Linked DNA regions of Drosophila melanogaster. The protein of the gene in region 4 purifies or fractionates together with the protein of the main gene of each other region. This does not show direct contact. Each region holds a gene or a part of one and is shown on either strand. Other genes may lie near its edges. The genes, in order: TwdlE, Gbp2, CG17032 and CG9581.

Region 1 (5,062 bases), on a different chromosome or scaffold from region 4:
GAAGCATTGACTAGTATAACGACGTCGCTGAAGAATATGTCTGCGAAAATAAATATTTTACATAGGTTCAAGCGAATCGGATCGAGATATTTGCACATCGAAGACATAGTCCAACAAAATTGGACCAGTGCTTTGAGCGCATGTCAAAAGATGGGAGGTAATCTAGCCTCAATTATAAATGAAGCAGACTTTAATGCTATCGTTTCGCAACTAAGCAAAGACAACACTTATATGATTGGCATTAGTGATCTGGCTGAAAAGGGCGTTTTCATATCTGTGTCCTCCGGAAAGAGAGCACCTTTTTTGAAATGGAATCCTGGAGAGCCACTATACGAACATGTAGATCAGCGTTGCGTTTCTATACATAACGGTGGCATGTGGGTTGCTTCTTGTACTTCTGATTTCAAATACATTTGCGAGGCAAATGAAAATGTATAGTAAACAGATATATATAAATATATGTACACATATGTTAAGACTTGCAATGTGAAACATACAAAAAGAAATCCATCTTGTACAGATAATTCGTTAAACTTTTATTTAGCCATTGATGTTTTGTGTTTTTAACATTATATACTTGAGTATCATTTTAATCTTCATTTTTTTTTGTTGCATTTCGAGTGCTTCGCACATTCTATTTAATGACAAATCGTGTGCGAAATGTGCAATATGAAATTGGAATAAATTGCCTACTTGAAAATGCGTTTGTGATGAAAATCATGTACCACGTATATATCGTTAATCGGTATCAGGATCGATATCTCTATCGATAACTAAGGCTAGCTCGCAGTGAGTGTTTCGAGTGTTTTGTGTGAGTGTATAACGCATCGTTCGCTTAAAGACCTAGACTTAAGACTAAACAAACAATTTGAAACAAACAGCCTAGATGGAAAACATACTTCTCGTACATCAGGTAGAAACAACATCAGAGATAAGAATTACTCATCTATAGGAGTAATAATCCTATGAGCTGGGTGTGGAGAGGGGATGGGGGAGATTCGTTGCTTGGTAAACTTTGTCACGCGTTAAGGTCCTTGAAACAGAAAATAATACAATACACATAAGATATGCAGTTTGCCATGAGTTGGGTTGAGATAAGCAAATCGGTATTCGGGTTGGACTGGATCGCCTAGTGGGATGGTGCCCCATACGAGCTGCTGGGAGCAGAGGGTGCGGGCGGGGCAGCTGGAGCTCCGTACTCGGGCGCTGGAGGCGCCACACTGTTGGGATAGGGTCCGGTCTCCTCCTTCTGGGTCTTGTAGCGGATGAAGTACACCTCCGGCTTGCTGGGTTGGGTGGGAGCTGGCGTTGGGATAATGATCTCCGGCTGCTCCTCCGGCTTCTTGACTAGCACGTACACCAGGGTCTTCTCTTCGTTCTGTGGGAACTGCGGTATTACAGGGGCGGTCGGTACTGGTGGAGATGGCGCCTTGATGAAGACGATCTTGTAGTGCTTCTGCGGAGGTGGCACGTAAAGGGGTTTCCTGGGAAAATATTTAAAAATGTATTTAAATAAAGGTTCTGCTATATCTGTATTTAAGGAATTTCTTAGGAATTCTATGGGTAAAGTAAGACACCACATCCTCATATAACGCAACTTTTTTTGCTTCCGGCTTGTAAAAATTTACATACTGAATAAAAAAATTTCAATTACACACGGCCAGGCTGGAATGACTTTCCACACTTCCTATAACCTTGCCTTGTTGAACGAACAAATACCGCGATGCGGGAGAAAGGAGTTTCTCTTTGAGGTGCATGCAAATGGCATGCCCATAAATGGTGACCTCCCGAAAATGGTGACCTCCCGACAACGTTGAACCCACTGCAGCTGCTTGTCAGTTTTACTAATCAGATGAAGATGATGACTATTGTGACGATGACAGCGATTGTCACAACAACCGCCTCGAGACGAGGGTTTACATAAAGCTACCTATGGTAATCGAGTTCCTGTCCCTCTGCGCCTGATAATTTGCTTGGAAATGGTACTGAGATATATACGAGTACAAGTGCTGCGGCGAGCTTAGGTAACGTTTTAGTCACGGTTTGGCGGTCTGCAAAGCCATATCATTCCCCTCTCGTGGTAATTAACATCGCTTCCAACTCCAATTGAAAACAGACAGAAGACGACAGAAAACATTGTATCAGCGAAAAGAGAGGAAAGTTGGATGGCTTTCGTTTTCGCGGGTATTAAATAATGTTCCTCCTCCGTTTAAGCGACCCTCTAAATACCCTGGAAATGTGGCAACAGCTGTGGAAAAGGGCCCTGAGCTGGATTAGATGATTGCCGGCTGGTCTCTTGCAACATTTGTCTAGTTATTATCTTTGGGAGTTGACGGCACTGCCTGGTTTACGCCGATGAATTGTGAGAGAATCTGCATAAGTGCCTTGGATTATATACTCATAACACAACAATGTGTTTTTTCCCCATATTTTTCCAATCTTAAGTGGAACAAGACAAATAAAGCGAGATCGTTTGTAACCGCTCACAATCACGCAAGTCGAAAAAAAAGTGTGCTGGATAAGGGGTGTGAATAATTTGAACTGATTACGTTGTGAAATGAAAAAAACCGCAGGATGTACGTTTATATTGTACGGCTTATCAGAAGAAATTCTCGATTGTTCACTCACTCACTGTGTTGGGAGTGTAGTGCGATTTCTATTTTGTGAAACTATGCAAAATAAATAATTTTACTATTACTTAAACTCTTAAATACGTATCTTTTGTGATTAAACTGAATGTGTCTAAAATAACATTTTTAAAGATTTTTTCCATTTTTAGGTCTGATATAATTATCATCTAGTATAGACAAAAATTTTAAACGAGTATGCATAGATCCTTTTCCGGAACTTGGTTGAAGAATAGGTTTATTGGGAACCCTATTCTACTCGCGATCTTTGGAACTTATGTTGGCTTAGAGGATCCTTGATCCTGCCACTCACCTGGGTGCCTGGTATTCCGGCTCTGGTGGAGGTACATGGACGTAGACGTGCTTGTGAATCACCGGCGCCTGCTGGGGAGGTCCGTACTGGGGCGCAGGGGCGCCGTAGCCTCCGCTGGGTCCACTTGGCTGGTAGCTGCTGGAGGGGGGCGCACTGTACGAGTCACGAGGCGGCTCTGGACGAGCGGCCACCAGGGCAGCCAGGGCCATGAGGACCACTAACTGCGAACGAGATCGGAGGAGAACACACCATTAAGCGATGTCCATCACGGCCACTTGGTCGGTTTGGTCACAAGATCATACCACACAACTGGAATGCATTTTCGGGTGGCTTATTTCGGGTATATCCGTTTCGGGTTTTGTCACTGCTCCAGGTGGCTAGGTGCTACTGGCTGTTACTGGTTACTGGTTACTGGCAATGTGGTGCTGCTTCGACGCGGAACCTCTTACTGCATGCCACAACGATTGTTGCAGTTTCTTTTATAGCAGCGCAGCGCGTGAAATAAAAATTAAGTAAAATTCAAGACGACGATCAAGACCGCTGCTGCTTTAGCCGCCTCAGCTGCCTCAGCTGCTGCCGCAGTCGACCGAGCAGTCGGCCAAGTTGGCTGAGCAGTTGGCAAAGAGCGGCAGCAGCATGTAGCCATGAAGAAATTGAAATGTTTAAGCCAAGTCCAAAGTTTGGCCAGTCATGATCTGGTGGGGAAACTGAGGCTGCAGCTCCTGGCTGCGATGCAAACGGCGACCGCAAAGCCAACCGAAACTGCAACGTCTGCTGACCGTTTCTTGGCTTTGGCTTTCCTCCTTCGATTAACTACTTCTTTTTCGTGGTTTTTCGAGCATGTGGTTGGTTGTTTTTTTTTTTCTGTTTTTCTGCCCAACTAGGATTATTTTCATGGGGAAAATAAGGAACCTGAAAGGTGCAGTGTATGTATGTAAAATAAAGCTTGAGGCAGCAAGGCCATCAAATAGTTTTTTATGGTTTTTATTTCTGAAGACACTTAGCTGCTGGAATGTAGCTTATTTCAAGGGTCCATTATTTTCAAGGCAAGAAAATAAAAGCCTTTTTTGCGGTAACCTCAGCTTTAACGATTTCCTGCTTAATTTAAGAATATCTGAGAATATCTGTTCTCTTATTATTAATTTATCACGCCTTTTGTTCTTTTATCATTAAAAGAAAATGCCTCTCTTAGCTTAGATAGTTTAATTATTAAAGGCAAGTCATATTTTGTAATATTTAATTTATAAATATGTCTTGTGCATTTTTTTCCCTCGCCCATTTAAAACATTTGTATAGATTCGCTGTAGAGTACAACTCCTTCGAACTGATTGCCAAAGAAACATGGTTTTTCCTAAAATCTCTGATTTCTGTTATTTATATATAAATATATATATATATGTGCTTTATTATATATATGTAGCTAATGTGTGTAAATTGTTATTTTGGTCATTTAGAGGATCCAATCGCAGTGGACTCGTAACCAAGTCTGGACTCTGGATCGGATCGTGTGGCACGATTCACTTTCAATTTCAATGAATGTGGATTCACTCTCATTTAGCCAGCCGTTTTGGGGAATGGGTTGGTATAGTATGGTATGGTATGGTTTGGGATCAGATGGGATGGGGCTAAGCTTTGTTTTGTGCTCTGGAGTGGGACTGAATCTGGTGTTGGTTTTATTTCATTTCTTCATGCTCTTTCGGCCTTTTGTTAGCCAGCTTCTTTCGGTGTTTTGGGTTGTGTTGTGTGTTGGCTTGAGTTGACTTGGCCTGGCTTGTTGTTATTATTATTGTTACTGTTATTGTTATTGTTTTACTGGCTATGTTGCTTTTGTAATTGCTGTCCGCGTTTTGGACACGAAGCTTCATAATGAGCTTCACGCTCTTGTTGGGTCGACCCATCTGTACAGGCATTTTATTTAATTTTTCTCCTCTGGTTTTTTTGTTTTTGCAATATTTTGAATTTCTTCAATTTGTTTTTTTTTTTATCTCTGGCAAGTTTTAGTGTTGTTTTTGGGTTGCTTTTCTTATTTAATAATTTACGCCCCGGCCATGACAATTAGCGTTAGAGAAGAGTGATGGATAAAATTATGATTGGCAAAATGTTTTGCAACTTTTCCATGGCT
Region 2 (4,569 bases), on a different chromosome or scaffold from region 4:
TTACTTTTAAAAATACAAGTTTCTCCGCATATGTATGTACTGATGGCTAACCAATATTTACTGGTCAAGTTAATACATTTGGTAAATTTTAAGTATTGTCTTTTAAAAACGATCAGAGAGAGTGGCTTTGGCTTTCGCAATCTCTCCGAAAGCCCTCCAGATAAAAGCTTTGCCAGCTTTAGACTGAGAAATCAGCAACATATAAGCCAAGCTAGATTCAGTAACGCAGTTCCCAAGCCGGAGGCTAGTAGTCGAGTCACCTGGAGAAAACCGCGAAGATGCTATCAAGATCCGTGCTGATCGTAGTAGGCCTACTAATGCTGAGCTGGCAGTGGACGATGGCCATGCCGCCCCTTCCGAAGAACCAACCCAGCGGAGTATCTATTAGTCAGCCCGATATACCGGGAGCCTCGGATATTTTGGTGCAGAGCATCTTCAACATCGATCCATCGCTGTGTCCCAAGGGGTACATACGCACGGGTCCACATCACACGTGTCGTAGGATAGCCTAGGAAGACAAGCTCTGAAGATCGATTTAAAGTTCAATATCAGAACGTGCTACAAGCTGTGTTTTTATTGATACTTAAATAAATTCTATATAAATACTTGCAATTCTCACATACATATTTAAAAAATACGACACATTCGGTTTATATAAGTACAGGTTCATTAAAGTTAATCAACTGATTGTTGGCACTGATGAAATATTGTTTAATAACATTGTTATATTTTATCTGTTTACGCTGGTTTTCGGCATCGATCTAGGTACAGTTGAAAACCAGGCGAGCATTTCTTTTCCACTTGAAGAAGTAGTTGTATCGCCGTCCAAGTGATCAGATATAGCCATCTTTTAAGTTGGAGCGCCATTTCCATACAATGCACTTCGTACAACAATCGCTTCAAAACTAATGTTCTACGGCGATCAAAAAAGTTAGCTTTTATGTAGGGATTTTCCCTGTTATGTGTGTGCTCTTCAAGATATTGATAAAAATGCGCATTCCATTTATTTGATTAGTCAATGTAACCAATTACACACAGCTTTGTAATTATACAACTGTAATTCAATATTGTAGAGATAACGTTTTCTAAATTGATATATTTCAAGAAAAATGATAACGTATTGCAGCTTAATTGCATTCAGCTGATTAATACAATTTGTGATGTTCAAAAGCTGTTACAGTGGTATACGTAAGCTACTACGAAGTCATTTTTTTACCGAAGAGCATGCTGAGGTAATCTCTGGGAAATTTGTACTTCCAATCTTGCATAAACAACCTTATCAGTTGAATAAAATGCCCCAAAAATTGTATGTCTCAATTATTACACATAATGACAGATTTAATGACACAATGAAATATGTATTGTGAACATGAAACAGTATTAATCAGAATTTCATTTGAATCCGAATTCCCTAGGCTTCCTTCCTGCAACGTCCTGCCATGAGCTTGAGTCCTTCTGCACACTTGGGATCCAGGTTGAAGAGACTGCGCTGATTTACCGACTCTGGACTTGCTTCCTCAGCATCCGACTTGGGATCTCGGTTGGCTCCAGGCGCTGTGCTCAATTCTGGTGACAGAAAATCATGGGTGTTGAAGAGGTCGTTGATGTTTTGGTCAACATTGTCAGAAGATTGAGCTCGCCCTGGAATAGGTTGGATCACAGAAGACTGCGGATGCCCGGGAATCGGTTGAATTGTCTGCGCTCCGCCAGATCCCGCAGTTTCGTAATCCTGGCCGGGTCGAGGCTGCAAAGTCTTGGGGGACTGGAAATTGAAGTCGGAAAAGTCTTCATCTGCGCTTCCGGGACGCGGTTGTATGGAATTATTAGAAGTACCAGGTTTCCGTCCCTGGTTTAGACCTGGTTGTTGAAACTCTCCAGAATTCTGGTCTGGTTGTTGGAATCCTCCAGAACTCTGGTCTGGCTGCCGGAATCCTCCAGTACTCTGGCCTGGCTGTTGGAATCCTCCAGTACTCTGGCCTGGCTGTTGGAATCCCCCAGTACTCTGGCCTGGCTGTTGGAATCCCCCAGAACTCTGGCCTGGTTGCTGGAATCCTCCAGTACTCTGGCCTGGCTGTTGGAATCCTCCAGAATTTTGGCTTGGTTGCCGGAACCCCCCATTATTTTGGCCTGACTGTTGGAATCCGCCAGCATTTTCATTTGGCTGTTCGAATCCACCAGGGTTTTGGCCAGGTCGAGGCTGTAGGGTATTTGGATCACCACCCGGCTGCTGGGGTTCCAATCCTCGAGGGTAGGTGGGTAGCTCCTCATGGCTGCCAGATTGTTGATGTCCTGGCGCCCTTCCAGATGGTTGTGGTCTATTGAATTCATTTCCTGGCTGCTGAAAACCTGGTTGGCCCCTGTTGAAATCTCCACCCGGTTGCTGGAGGCCTGGATGTCCCCTGTTAAAATCACCTACAGGGTAGGGATATTCCTGTTGTCCTCTATGAAAACCACCTCCATGTTGGTGAAATTGACTGCCAGGTTGTCCTTGAACTGCACCGACGTTCGGATAATACGGTTGACGACCTCCTGATGGTTGATTATCTGGATAATACGAAGGAGGCGGTGGAAAACGACCGAAGACAAAGGGAGGTGGTCCAATGGATCCTGGGCCATATCCTGACCCATGTACGTGATGACCATGGTGGCGATGATGGTTCCTTAATAGAAAAAAAGTATTAGTGATACAAATATTATAAAATCATAACAATCTTATTAATTAATTTTAAATACTCACGGATATCCATGTCCGCCGTTTTCCACGTAGTAAGGATTCTGGGGACGAGCTGAAGTCCATTGTCCACTGATTAAAAGGATCAGTGACATAGCCAACCTTATAGATAAGAGTTGCAAAAACATTTTCGACACGAAATCGACCCAACGGCAGCGTTGAATATTCAAAACAGACTGAGCAGCGCTGTCGAGTCGAGAACAGACGATCTAACCGAGTTTAGTATTTATTATGAGCCGCTGATAAGCCAAGTTCATGACAGCAGATAAGGCATCAAATTACATAGCAGAAGAGTAGGGAATAACTGATGCAGCTGAATGCACCGGGAATTGTTTGAGTTAGACACTGACTCACAGTGATGGCCACCAAACTAAAATTACTGCGTTTTACACGACGCTAAGTTTCCCCCAATAGCGTTTCTCCCACAATTGTGATTTGGGTTTTCTATGGGTATTTTTGTCTGCCTCCGAATCGTTTATAATAGTCACCGAAAAAACCATTAATCAATCAAAAGTTCTACACAAATATCACTTTATTGGCTAACATCAATCTTAGCGACTACAGATTACGCCGGCTTTCTGCATCGTTTTCCGAACAGCTCAAAGCCAGGCTTACATTTTTGGGTCGTCTCCAGCAATATTCGGTTGTCTATAACTGGCAGCACAGTGGTGTTTTCATTAACCAGCTCCTCCGATCCGCTGGTGATCTGTTCTGTGCTGTTTGTACTTTCCAAACGGAGTGCTATTGTGGATGCGGGTTCCTCAGTTGTCGTTGTGGTCGAGTATGTGAATCTCGAGCTGGTATCGTCGTCATCCTTTGGAAAAACGATGCGATCGTTACCACTGGGCCGTGTTCTCGCCTCGGTGAGGAGGAAGACCAGCGGTAGGATGCACAGCACCAATGGATTAATACGTATCAACATTATCTCCGAGATGCACGCTCGTTTGCTACGATGAAGCTTCGATGACTGAGCGCGGAAACAACTGGCTGGCCATTTACATTCAGATTTTCATTCCCAGCGAAACCAGATAAATGATGGGAGCAAATCGTTGGGAGACAACAATAAGAATGGCAAGGGAGCTCATAAGCTCTCCCATGAAAACAAAACGTAAACAAAGCAGAAGAGTAGCGTTAAGCTTTTCAGATATATCTCAGCTAGTCTACACTGACAGAACTGAATTATCATAAAGCTTTTTTTTAATGAAATATGTTGGTGCCCAGCTATTTCGAACGTTTTTTTTTTTTTTTGTTGATTTGCAATGCAATAATTTACACTCAATACTTTTGAATTTATTTCTTACATTTTTGTCAATTAATTCTCACTTCTTTCCACTTTTATGGCTCTAATCTAGGCAATTTTCCGGCAACGATCTTTTACTGTCAGAGTAGTGCCGTTTGGACAAATTCGCGTTGTTTCCAGGACAATTCTAGGCTCAATACCCAAACTAGTGGAATCGCTAGCAATGGTTGGTTTCGTATTATCTGACTCTGAGGGAAACGCAAACTGATCGCTAGACACTCGAGCTGCACGATTTGTATCCAATGCCAGACACAGCCAGACAAACAAAAATAGCATCTTCGGCCAGGGAAGACGCCGCGTAATTGCCATCGTAAAGTTGGTTTTGTTTATTTGCAATCGACAGAGTCTCTGAAGTCTCAGTTTCCGGCTCTGTCTCACTTTCTGATTCAGATTCGGATTCACTTCGAGAGGATAACTTTAAAAGGAAGCTCAAGTAAACACATTCACTTCATTCAATATCGCACTAAGTTCTAAATCTGTGGAGGTTCAATTTTTAAGAATTTATAGCAGTTTCTAAGACCCTAAGATATTCATCCCG
Region 3 (4,298 bases), on a different chromosome or scaffold from region 4:
CACCTAGTCCGGGCAAACACGACTACACTCTGTACTACATGAGCGATTCCTATTTGGGTTGTGATCAGGAGTACAAGTTTTCCATCGAAGTGGGTGACTTCCAGTCGGAAAGCGAAAGCGAGTCAGATTAGTTTTCTTTAGGATCATCAGTTGGGCATGTTTGCACAAATGAAAATCAATCATTTTACAATTTACGCGCATTAATTGTAGCAATAATAAATTCGTGTACTACTTTAGTAGAAACCAAATTGTACAAGGATACACTGAGGATAATTATATAAAGTAGTACAAAAAAAAAAAAAAACAAAATAAAAAAAACCTTTCAACTTTCTTTCGCTGGTTGATACCAAGAATCTAAATATTTTGTAGTCAACAGTGCCAATTCTTATATTGTCTTAAGCTTTTAAATTTCGTATGGAACAATTCAAGTTTGTTGTAATTTGTAATCTGGATCATCAAAATGCAACCGTTTAGATTTTAAAAAAATCATTCAAATTATTCATTCAAATTCAATTCAATCATAAATATTTATTTGGATTTTTTAGATATTTGCACATAGGATTGCTGACAAATAGATTAACTTGGAGGTATTTTCCCTGTATGGTGAACTTGGCTTTTAGCGGCTGACAGAAACTGCCGATCCATGGCTACTGCCACGATTGGCTCCTCCATTAGCGAAGCTGTTCGTGGAGCTAAAGTTTATTGTCTGTCCATTGGGAAGATGGTAAACCTGACTCAGCGAAGCACCTGCCGCATTATTGGATCCAAAGGGGCTGGTGTTCTGGGACTGAGTGGCCGTGCTTGCGGAGGAGGCACCGAATGATCCATTGGCACTCTGCGACTGGAAGCCCTGAGCCTGCCCACTGGCGGCCGAGGATCCTGAGTTGAGTCCATTGTTGTAGTTGCTGTGGGCAGCTCCGTTGGATGCGGCCTGCTCCTGGTTGTAACCACTGGGTCCGAGTGGTCCCAGCGGATTTAACTCGACGTTGGCATTGGCATTGCCGCCATCTGGTCCGGCACCAACATCAACACCCGCTTTGGTTCCCCCAGCGCCGGCCGATGTACCTGCCTGAACTTTTCCACCTTGATTACCGCCGAATCCGGGATTTCCTCCGAATCCTGGGTTACCGCCGAATTCCTGATTACCGCCGAAACCCTGATTACCTCCGAATCCCTGGTTGCCTCCAAATCCTTGATTACCGCCGAATCCACCTCCAAAACCAGGCTCTCCACCGAATCCGCCACCGAAGCCGGGATTTCCAGCATACTGACCACCAAATTGTCGCCCAAACTGACGCTTCACCCTCTTGTGAGCGGCCTGGATTCCGGATATTTGATCCAGGACCGAACGGACGCGACGCACCTGCGGATTAGACTTCGGTTTGATGTACAAGGCTGATTCCACCACTACTTCCTCGATAGTGGCGCCCTTGGAAGCTGTAAAATGCAATGGTATATACTTTATAAAATATTTTATATTTATTTTAATTTAATTAATAGAAGCTGAATAATCGGCAAGCTTATTATTAAAAAATTCGGAGCAATCTATTATTTTACTAAATATTTTACGCTTTGTTCGCACTACAGAATGTGTACATATGTATACACAAAAATTTATAGATAGATATGTATTTATATATATTTACAGAATTTCAGATTTGAAAAGTATTTTCCAAATGTATTTAGGAAGTTTTACAATCTAAGAATTGTAAGATTTTCGAGCGTTAAGAATTTTACTTACGCAAATCATCATCGCCGGTTTGAACCTGCTTCTCGTTGCGCTGCCTCAGTTGAGGAAACGCCGACGCAGCTGCCAGACAGATGAGGGCCACAAATAGCACCGGAATTGATACATTCATTTCGTGTTCTTCGATTAGATTGGTTGCCTTCTGGAGATCGCAGCTGGACACGTCCGTTGGCTGCGCCGCTTCGCGATCAACTGTTGGATGTATATATTTCAGCCTGTCCGCTCCGCCGCCAATCGGCCGATCAACTCTCACTTTCAATCGCCGTAGGGGGCTGCCCCTTTGGTCTGGATGGCGCTAATTGCTTCTATCAATATTCAAGATGTTCGGCAAATACGAAGAAAAAAATTGAAAACCAAAACTGGCTTGTATAATCCAACGATTTTTGGCACATGTAACCGATGCAAACTTTGTATAATGTTGTATTATGTAGGAAAAAAACAAAACGGGTGTACAAAAGCCGAAACCGGTTGGCGGCCAAAGCTCGTGGAGGAACTAGTTTGGTTTTCTTTTGTTTATTTTGTTGCTTGGTTGCTTGCTGCTTGGTTTTTGTTGCTTTTCGATTTCCATTTCGGGAAACAGATGTTGTCCAGAACTTTTACGGGTCCACAGAGTGGAGGCGGACAGATCTCCCCGAATGAGTTGGTGCTTGCAAGTGGGGGGCATCCCAGTGAACATTTGTGTAGGATTTCCAAAGGCAGACGCTTGTCTGCCCTTTCAGCTGATAAGAGGCTAGAATTATCGGTTTAGTTGGAATAATCACTTTTATTTCTATTTCTAATCTAAAAGGCTAGACAATCTTTCAGAAAAATAATTCATGGGAGTGCTTAAATAAATGAATAAATGGAATTTTGTTGTAACATACTATTACAATTTAAATTCGTAATTGAAAGAAATCAATTATAAAAGCAAATGGTTTATTATAGTAATAAATTCTTCCATGAATACATTAGTTAAATAAACTGTTTATTACTCTTTCCACATTTAATCTAAAAGTATTGACAAATATTTCAGAAATTTAAGTAAGTTGTGCAATACGAATTTAAACGCGAATTAGGACATTCACAGCTTCCTTCCATCAAAATGAGAATGAAGTGAACGATAACAAAGGGACATTTGTTGAGATCGCTTAATCAAACATGTAATATTGGGTATATGCGAACGACTTGATGATGTATACGAATTTGCGTACTAACTAAATGGATAAAACACAATGAACCGAAAGTAATATATATTTTTTGTACAACTTGAAAGTCGTCATGAGGCGCTTGAATGGTTTGTTTTGCGAGTTTTTCCTTACAATATTGTTTTTAATGCTTACTCTTACGTTAAGGAATCAACAAAACTGAGCACTGTTCGATATAGTTAGCATTTAACCTAGGATAAGTGGTTAATCAGCGGCTGAGGGCCTACTCGATGCCATGGGCGAAGATCATGACCAAACCTGGATCGATCATGACGTCCTCAGTCATGTGGAGGTTGTCGCAGCTCAAAACGAGCACAGCTTGCTTGCCTGCGGAAGAGTAAGTTTAAAGATAAAGCCTTGTTGTTAATATTTATGTTTAAAATTGTTACCTGGAATGCGTCGACACACATAGTTGTCGTAGATCCTACGATTGGTTTGACGTGTCTCTAGCGAACTGAGCCCACGGGGCCAACGTCGCTCGTGGCAGAACTCCATAAGACTATCCAGGATGTGTGGCGGACAGCCCGACTCGGACAAAGCGCGCTTGATCATGAGCTATCAAATGAAAAGTGAGTTAACGTTTTAAAAAAATTTAGAATTTGGGCTTCACCTGCAGTGCATCGTCGGGCGTAGAGATCATTCCCCCCCAGCGCGTAACCCTGGCCCGGGGCAGTGTGCTGCTCCAGCGGATCACCTCGTCGCGCTCCATCTGGTCGGCTATGGCCCGCATCGCAGGATTGGAGACGCGCATGGCACGCATAAAGTCCTTGAATAGCTGCAGCTCGCGCTTCAGTTCGTTGATAGTCAGCTGCTGGTCGGTGAGCTCCGATTTGAGCTCACCCATTTTTTCCGTCTGCTTGACAATTAAAGTGCGCAGCTCCCGCACGCAGTTGTGGTCCTTTAGCTCATCCTTGGGTATGTCAAAGCCGCATCCCTTCTCGCAGGGAAATGGTCGCTTCGGATTGTGAATGCATTCGTCCAAATGGGAATTGTAGGCGTCTAGCTTGAGAACAGCCGTGCAGCCATAAGGCGCATTGTCACAGGTGATTGACAGTCTGGTTGGCAAGGGTCAAAGATTAGTTAGAGTCCACAAGGTTCACAGAGTAGAAGGCGTTGGGTTTTTCTCACCTGGACAGTAGGTTGCGCAATATGCGAGGCACTGCCCGCAAGTTGGCAGTAGTCAGGGAATTTCGATCCACCGGACAAGTGGGCTGGCGGGTTAGCCACTCGTTAATGCATCCGCGGCAGAAGGCGTGCTCGCACATCACGGCCTGAATCGGTAGATATGTATGATTGTTTGTATTTAAAGCATATGTATGATTCGCGGTGTGCGTTCTTTGCAAACAAAACAAACCTGCAGCGGATCC
Region 4 (4,075 bases):
GCCGCCGACGTGGGCACCCTGCAGCGTCTGCCCAAGGCAGTGGGCAGTCAGTCCCTCGCCCGCGAGCTGTGCTTCACTGGGCGCAAATTCGAGGCCGCCGAGGCCCACTCCTCGGGCCTGGTGAGTCGCCTCTTCCCAGACAAGGATTCCCTGCTGACCGGAGCCCTGGCCGTGGCCGAGCTCATCGCTAGCAAGAGTCCCGTCGCCGTAAAGACAACCAAGGAGAGCCTCGTGTACTCCCTGGAGCACACCAATCAAGAGGGCTTGGATCACATTGTGGGTATCCTAATATCTCAACGAATTTGCACGAGCTAACCACGCCTCACGCCTCACACCTTGCAGCTCCTGCTGAACAAGCTCAACCTGCTGTCGGAGGACTTCGCCCAGGCTGTGGCCGCCCAGTTGACGAAGGACGATAAGCCAGTGTTCGCCAAGCTGTGATCGGTAACCTGTAATATGTAATCTGCAATCTGACAGAATTTAAAATGTATTTGCCATGTGTGCATTTATAAATACAGCATCTGCCTTTACTTTAGGACCCAAATCAGCTCATAAGGTTGTCGGGAGAATGAAAGGCTTATGACTAGGAATTTGGTTTTCGTTGTGAGCTCTTAAAACGCCTCCGCGGATGAGGCACCGGGGTTCTTCTGTTGCTGTTTGCAAAGCTCCTGCAGGGCGCGTGGATCCTTGACGCACGCCTCAGTTAGAACTTCCACGTGGCCGTTCTCGTTGATGAGCAGATCGTCTTCGATGCGGATGCCGATGCCCCGGAACTCGGGCGGCACGTCGCCGCAATCCTGGCCAATGTAGATGCCCGGCTCAACGGTGAAGACCATGCCGGGCACGATGCGTGTGTTGCGTGGCACGTGCGGTGTGTCGTGCACGTCCATCCCAAGGTAGTGGGAGACGTGGTGCGGACAGAAGCGGTAGCCCTGGCTGACCAGTTCCTTGTACTCGCTGAACGACTTGCCCACCAGCCCGATCTCCTGCAAGTACTTGCCCAGCTTGTAGCAGGTGGTCTCGAACAGCTGGTCGAGCGTCTCGCCGCCCGGCTTCATCACGTTGCCAATAATCTCCTCCTGCAGCTGGTGCAGCATGTCGTACAGTGTGCGCTGCGGCTCCGTGAAAACCCCACTCGCCGGCCAGGTGCGTGTGATGTCGCTGGTGTAGCCGCCATACTCGCAGCCGGCGTCCATCAGCACGAGATCCTGCTGACCCAACAACTGGCTGTTGGCCACGTAGTGGATCACCGTGGCGTTTTTACCGGCAGCCACCACCGGCGGGTAGGCCAGGTAGCTGGCGTTGCGCATGCGGCACTTGTAGTCAATCGCGGCGAACAGATGGTGCTCCGACTGACCTGGCCGGGTCTCGGCCATCACTTCGTTGAACGAGCGTGAGGCTATGTCGCAGGTGCGCCGCATTAACTGCATCTCGTCGCGGGACTTAAGCAGGCGCATGGCTTCTAGGAAAGTGTAGGCCGGCAGCAGCGGACGCTGCTGATTGCCGCTCAATCGCAGCATGTTCTCCGCCAGGGACGGCAGGTCGGTGCTCTTCTGATCGAACCAGATGTGTGGTTTTAGGGCGCCTGCGCGCTTGGCCAGCACCGCCTCCAGCTGGGACAGCGGATGGGCCTCAGTGACTCCGAAAAGCGGCACCGCGAGCTCGGGCCCAGTGCGCGGACCATCCCACAGCTCGGCATGCGGGTCCTTGGGACGCATAAACAGCTCGGACTGCACGTTCTGGGCCTCGTCGATGGTCAGCAGTAGCACGGCGTCCGGCTCTAGGCAGCCAGTTAGGTAGTAGAAGTCCGAGTTCTGGCGGAACACGTACGGGATCTTGCCGCTCATATACTTCTTGGAGGCGGCGCCCAGAACGAGCTGTCAGAGATTCAAGTTTATATATTTTGCTTCTCTTTGTAGCCTGCAGGTCCTCACCATGTGACAAGAACTCGAGTGCCCATTGAACTCGCCGCCGAAACTGCGTGCATAGGCGCGGATGTTTTGCATCAGCTGCGAACGGCGTTCCTTGATCTCGGTCAGCTCCACGCCCGGAACCAGCTCGTCCGGCTGGATAAGATGTGGATGCGAGACGCTGGTGGGCTGTCCCAGGTTTCCCTTTTGCTGGCGCAGAATCTGAGCCACGCCACGCACCTCGGCCGCGTTTACTGTCGATTTGCTGCTGGGACTTCCTGGGGAGATCGTGGTGGACTGGCTCATCCAGCGGTGTGGCCACAGGCTGGTGGAAATGGCGGCGCTGCGGCGGACGGTGGGAGCGATCAGGCGGTCCAGGCGCCTTAGGATATTCATCGTGCTGCCGGTTCCGGTTCTTGGGTTGCCAACTAAAATCTTCACAATATTATACACATCAGAAAACGGAACTGTTAAAAACACTAACGATCCTGGATAAAAACAAAACACATGGGTTGCCAGACGATTGCTTAACAAGAGTCCCGCCGATTGACAGATGTCGATAACTATCGTTGTAAAATTATACAACTATGTGAATGTAGTTTCGCCTTACCTATAGCAGCTTTCAAAAAACGCGATTCATTTCGAATTGTGTACAACCACGGCTTATATAAGCTTATGAATCCACTCAAGTACGCCAACTTGATTGCTTTCGCCCCATAGCATTTAAATATTGCGCTGCAATCGAAAAACCTCGATAGTACCGCCGCTAAGCTTTAGAAGTAATCGACATTGGCATCCCTAACATAATAACAAAAATTTTTAACAGGATCAATAGGGGGCTTTGGAACAGTATTTTCGACTTAGACAGACACTTTGAAATCATTTGACATATCTTTAGAATGTCCATGGAGGAGGTATGTGTTGGTATAGCCCAGTTCCAATGGCCAAACACTCAATGTAATCCCGTCCTGCAGTGCTTTGTGCCCCGGCTGCCGGTGGACAGCGAGTTCATCCAGTTCCACGACTGGGCCATCAAGTATGAGAAGTCGCACATCCTGAAGAGCAGCTGCCAACTGGGCACCGCCAAGTGCTGTCCCAAGGACTCGGCCGACCGCTGCGACCTCTGCCACTACCAGCACTCCCTGCAGCTGCCCCACCTGCCCGACATGGTGTTCCACAAGAATCGGCTGGTGTTACAGCACAAGGACGGCGCCACTCTCGAGTTCTGCCCCATGGACGCGCTGGCGCTGGTGGACAATGGGAAGCAGCCGCTGGAGGTCGCTTGTGCTCAGGAGTGGCGGGAAACGCGGTGGGTACTCCCATTGAGATTGGGATATGGATCGTTCTACTGTTGTTCCTCTATAAATCGCCCAAATGATTGAATTCTATACTCCAGTAACGAGCAGACAATGGAGGAGAAGTTCAAGCCTTTCGACTGGACATTCACCTCCACCTACCAGGGCACCATGAACGAAAAAGTGCGATCGGAGACCACGAATCAGACGCTGAACAAGTTCAAGCTGATGCAGCGCGAGAACATCATCTTCTACCACGATTTAACTCTGTTCGAGGATGAGCTGCACGACCACGGAATATCGGTGATGAGCGTGCGAATCGTAAGTGCTGATAAATACAAATTATAGAGCCCTTATCGAAGAAGCCCAACTCTTTCTGGCACAGCGCGTGATGCCCTCTGGCTTCTTCATCCTTTTGCGCCACTTTCTGCGCGTGGACCACGTGCTAATCCGGATGCACGACACCCGCTTCCACCACGAGATCGAGAACGACTTTATCCTGAAAGAGTACATCCATCGGGAGGCGCCTTGCACTGAGCTTCAAAACTGTGTGGCCTTCTGGACCAACCCGGATGAAATGCAAGAATTTGTGCCCGTGAAGTCCAAGCAGTTGCACAAGCTCTTCTTTAAGTAGTCCCGATGTCCGATGCTAGATGCCAGATCCCAGATCTCTAGGTTTATGTCAGTCGTCGCATTGGTTACAACTGCTGCTATATGCGTTTATTTATTGCCAACAGTGTGCGCATGCGCAGACGACATTAAAAGCGATTTTCCTAAAAGGCACACTACGATCAAAGCTATTAACACGAATAAAATATTGGGCGGACCAGCTGCCACATCCTCGGGCCTAGGCGGATCCAAGTAGGGCTG

What was found.
Region 1: the proteins of CG9581 (region 4) and TwdlE purify together in Drosophila melanogaster (affinity purification with mass spectrometry, with the first as the bait; one large-scale study listed by BioGRID). This does not show direct contact.
Region 2: the proteins of CG9581 (region 4) and Gbp2 purify together in Drosophila melanogaster (affinity purification with mass spectrometry, with the first as the bait; one large-scale study listed by BioGRID). This does not show direct contact.
Region 3: the proteins of CG9581 (region 4) and CG17032 purify together in Drosophila melanogaster (affinity purification with mass spectrometry, with the first as the bait; one large-scale study listed by BioGRID). This does not show direct contact.

The regions. Positions count from the first base shown.
Region 1 is NT_033779.5:7,857,441-7,862,502, forward strand, and holds TwdlE (TweedleE), read right to left. Parts: upstream 3,400-5,062; 5' UTR 3,261-3,399; coding exon 3,243-3,260; intron 3,162-3,242; coding exon 2,941-3,161; intron 2,681-2,940; exon of another isoform or gene 1,485-2,680; coding exon 1,130-1,484; 3' UTR 517-1,129; downstream 1-516.
Region 2 is NT_033778.4:17,135,582-17,140,150, reverse strand, and holds Gbp2 (Growth-blocking peptide 2), read right to left. Parts: upstream 2,912-4,569; 5' UTR 2,860-2,911; coding exon 2,738-2,859; intron 2,661-2,737; coding exon 1,412-2,660; 3' UTR 556-1,411; downstream 1-555. Other genes in the region: CG43103 (uncharacterized protein), read left to right, coding at 279-512; Gbp1 (Growth-blocking peptide 1), read right to left, coding at 3,297-3,653.
Region 3 is NT_037436.4:15,956,827-15,961,124, reverse strand, and holds CG17032 (uncharacterized protein), read right to left. Parts: upstream 2,283-4,298; 5' UTR 1,860-2,282; coding exon 1,742-1,859; intron 1,438-1,741; coding exon 617-1,437; 3' UTR 516-616; downstream 1-515. Other genes in the region: Brr2 U5 snRNP complex subunit, read left to right, coding at 1-131; elgi (early girl), read right to left, coding at 3,155-3,258, 3,321-3,486, 3,542-3,986, 4,060-4,202, 4,286-4,298.
Region 4 is NC_004354.4:20,167,540-20,171,614, forward strand, and holds CG9581 (uncharacterized protein), read right to left. Parts: upstream 2,443-4,075; 5' UTR 2,307-2,442; coding exon 1,935-2,306; intron 1,878-1,934; coding exon 612-1,877; 3' UTR 503-611; downstream 1-502. Other genes in the region: CG9577 (uncharacterized protein), read left to right, coding at 1-276, 343-441; CG9578 (uncharacterized protein), read left to right, coding at 2,810-2,824, 2,885-3,219, 3,307-3,526, 3,591-3,839; AnxB10 (annexin B10), read right to left, coding at 4,053-4,075.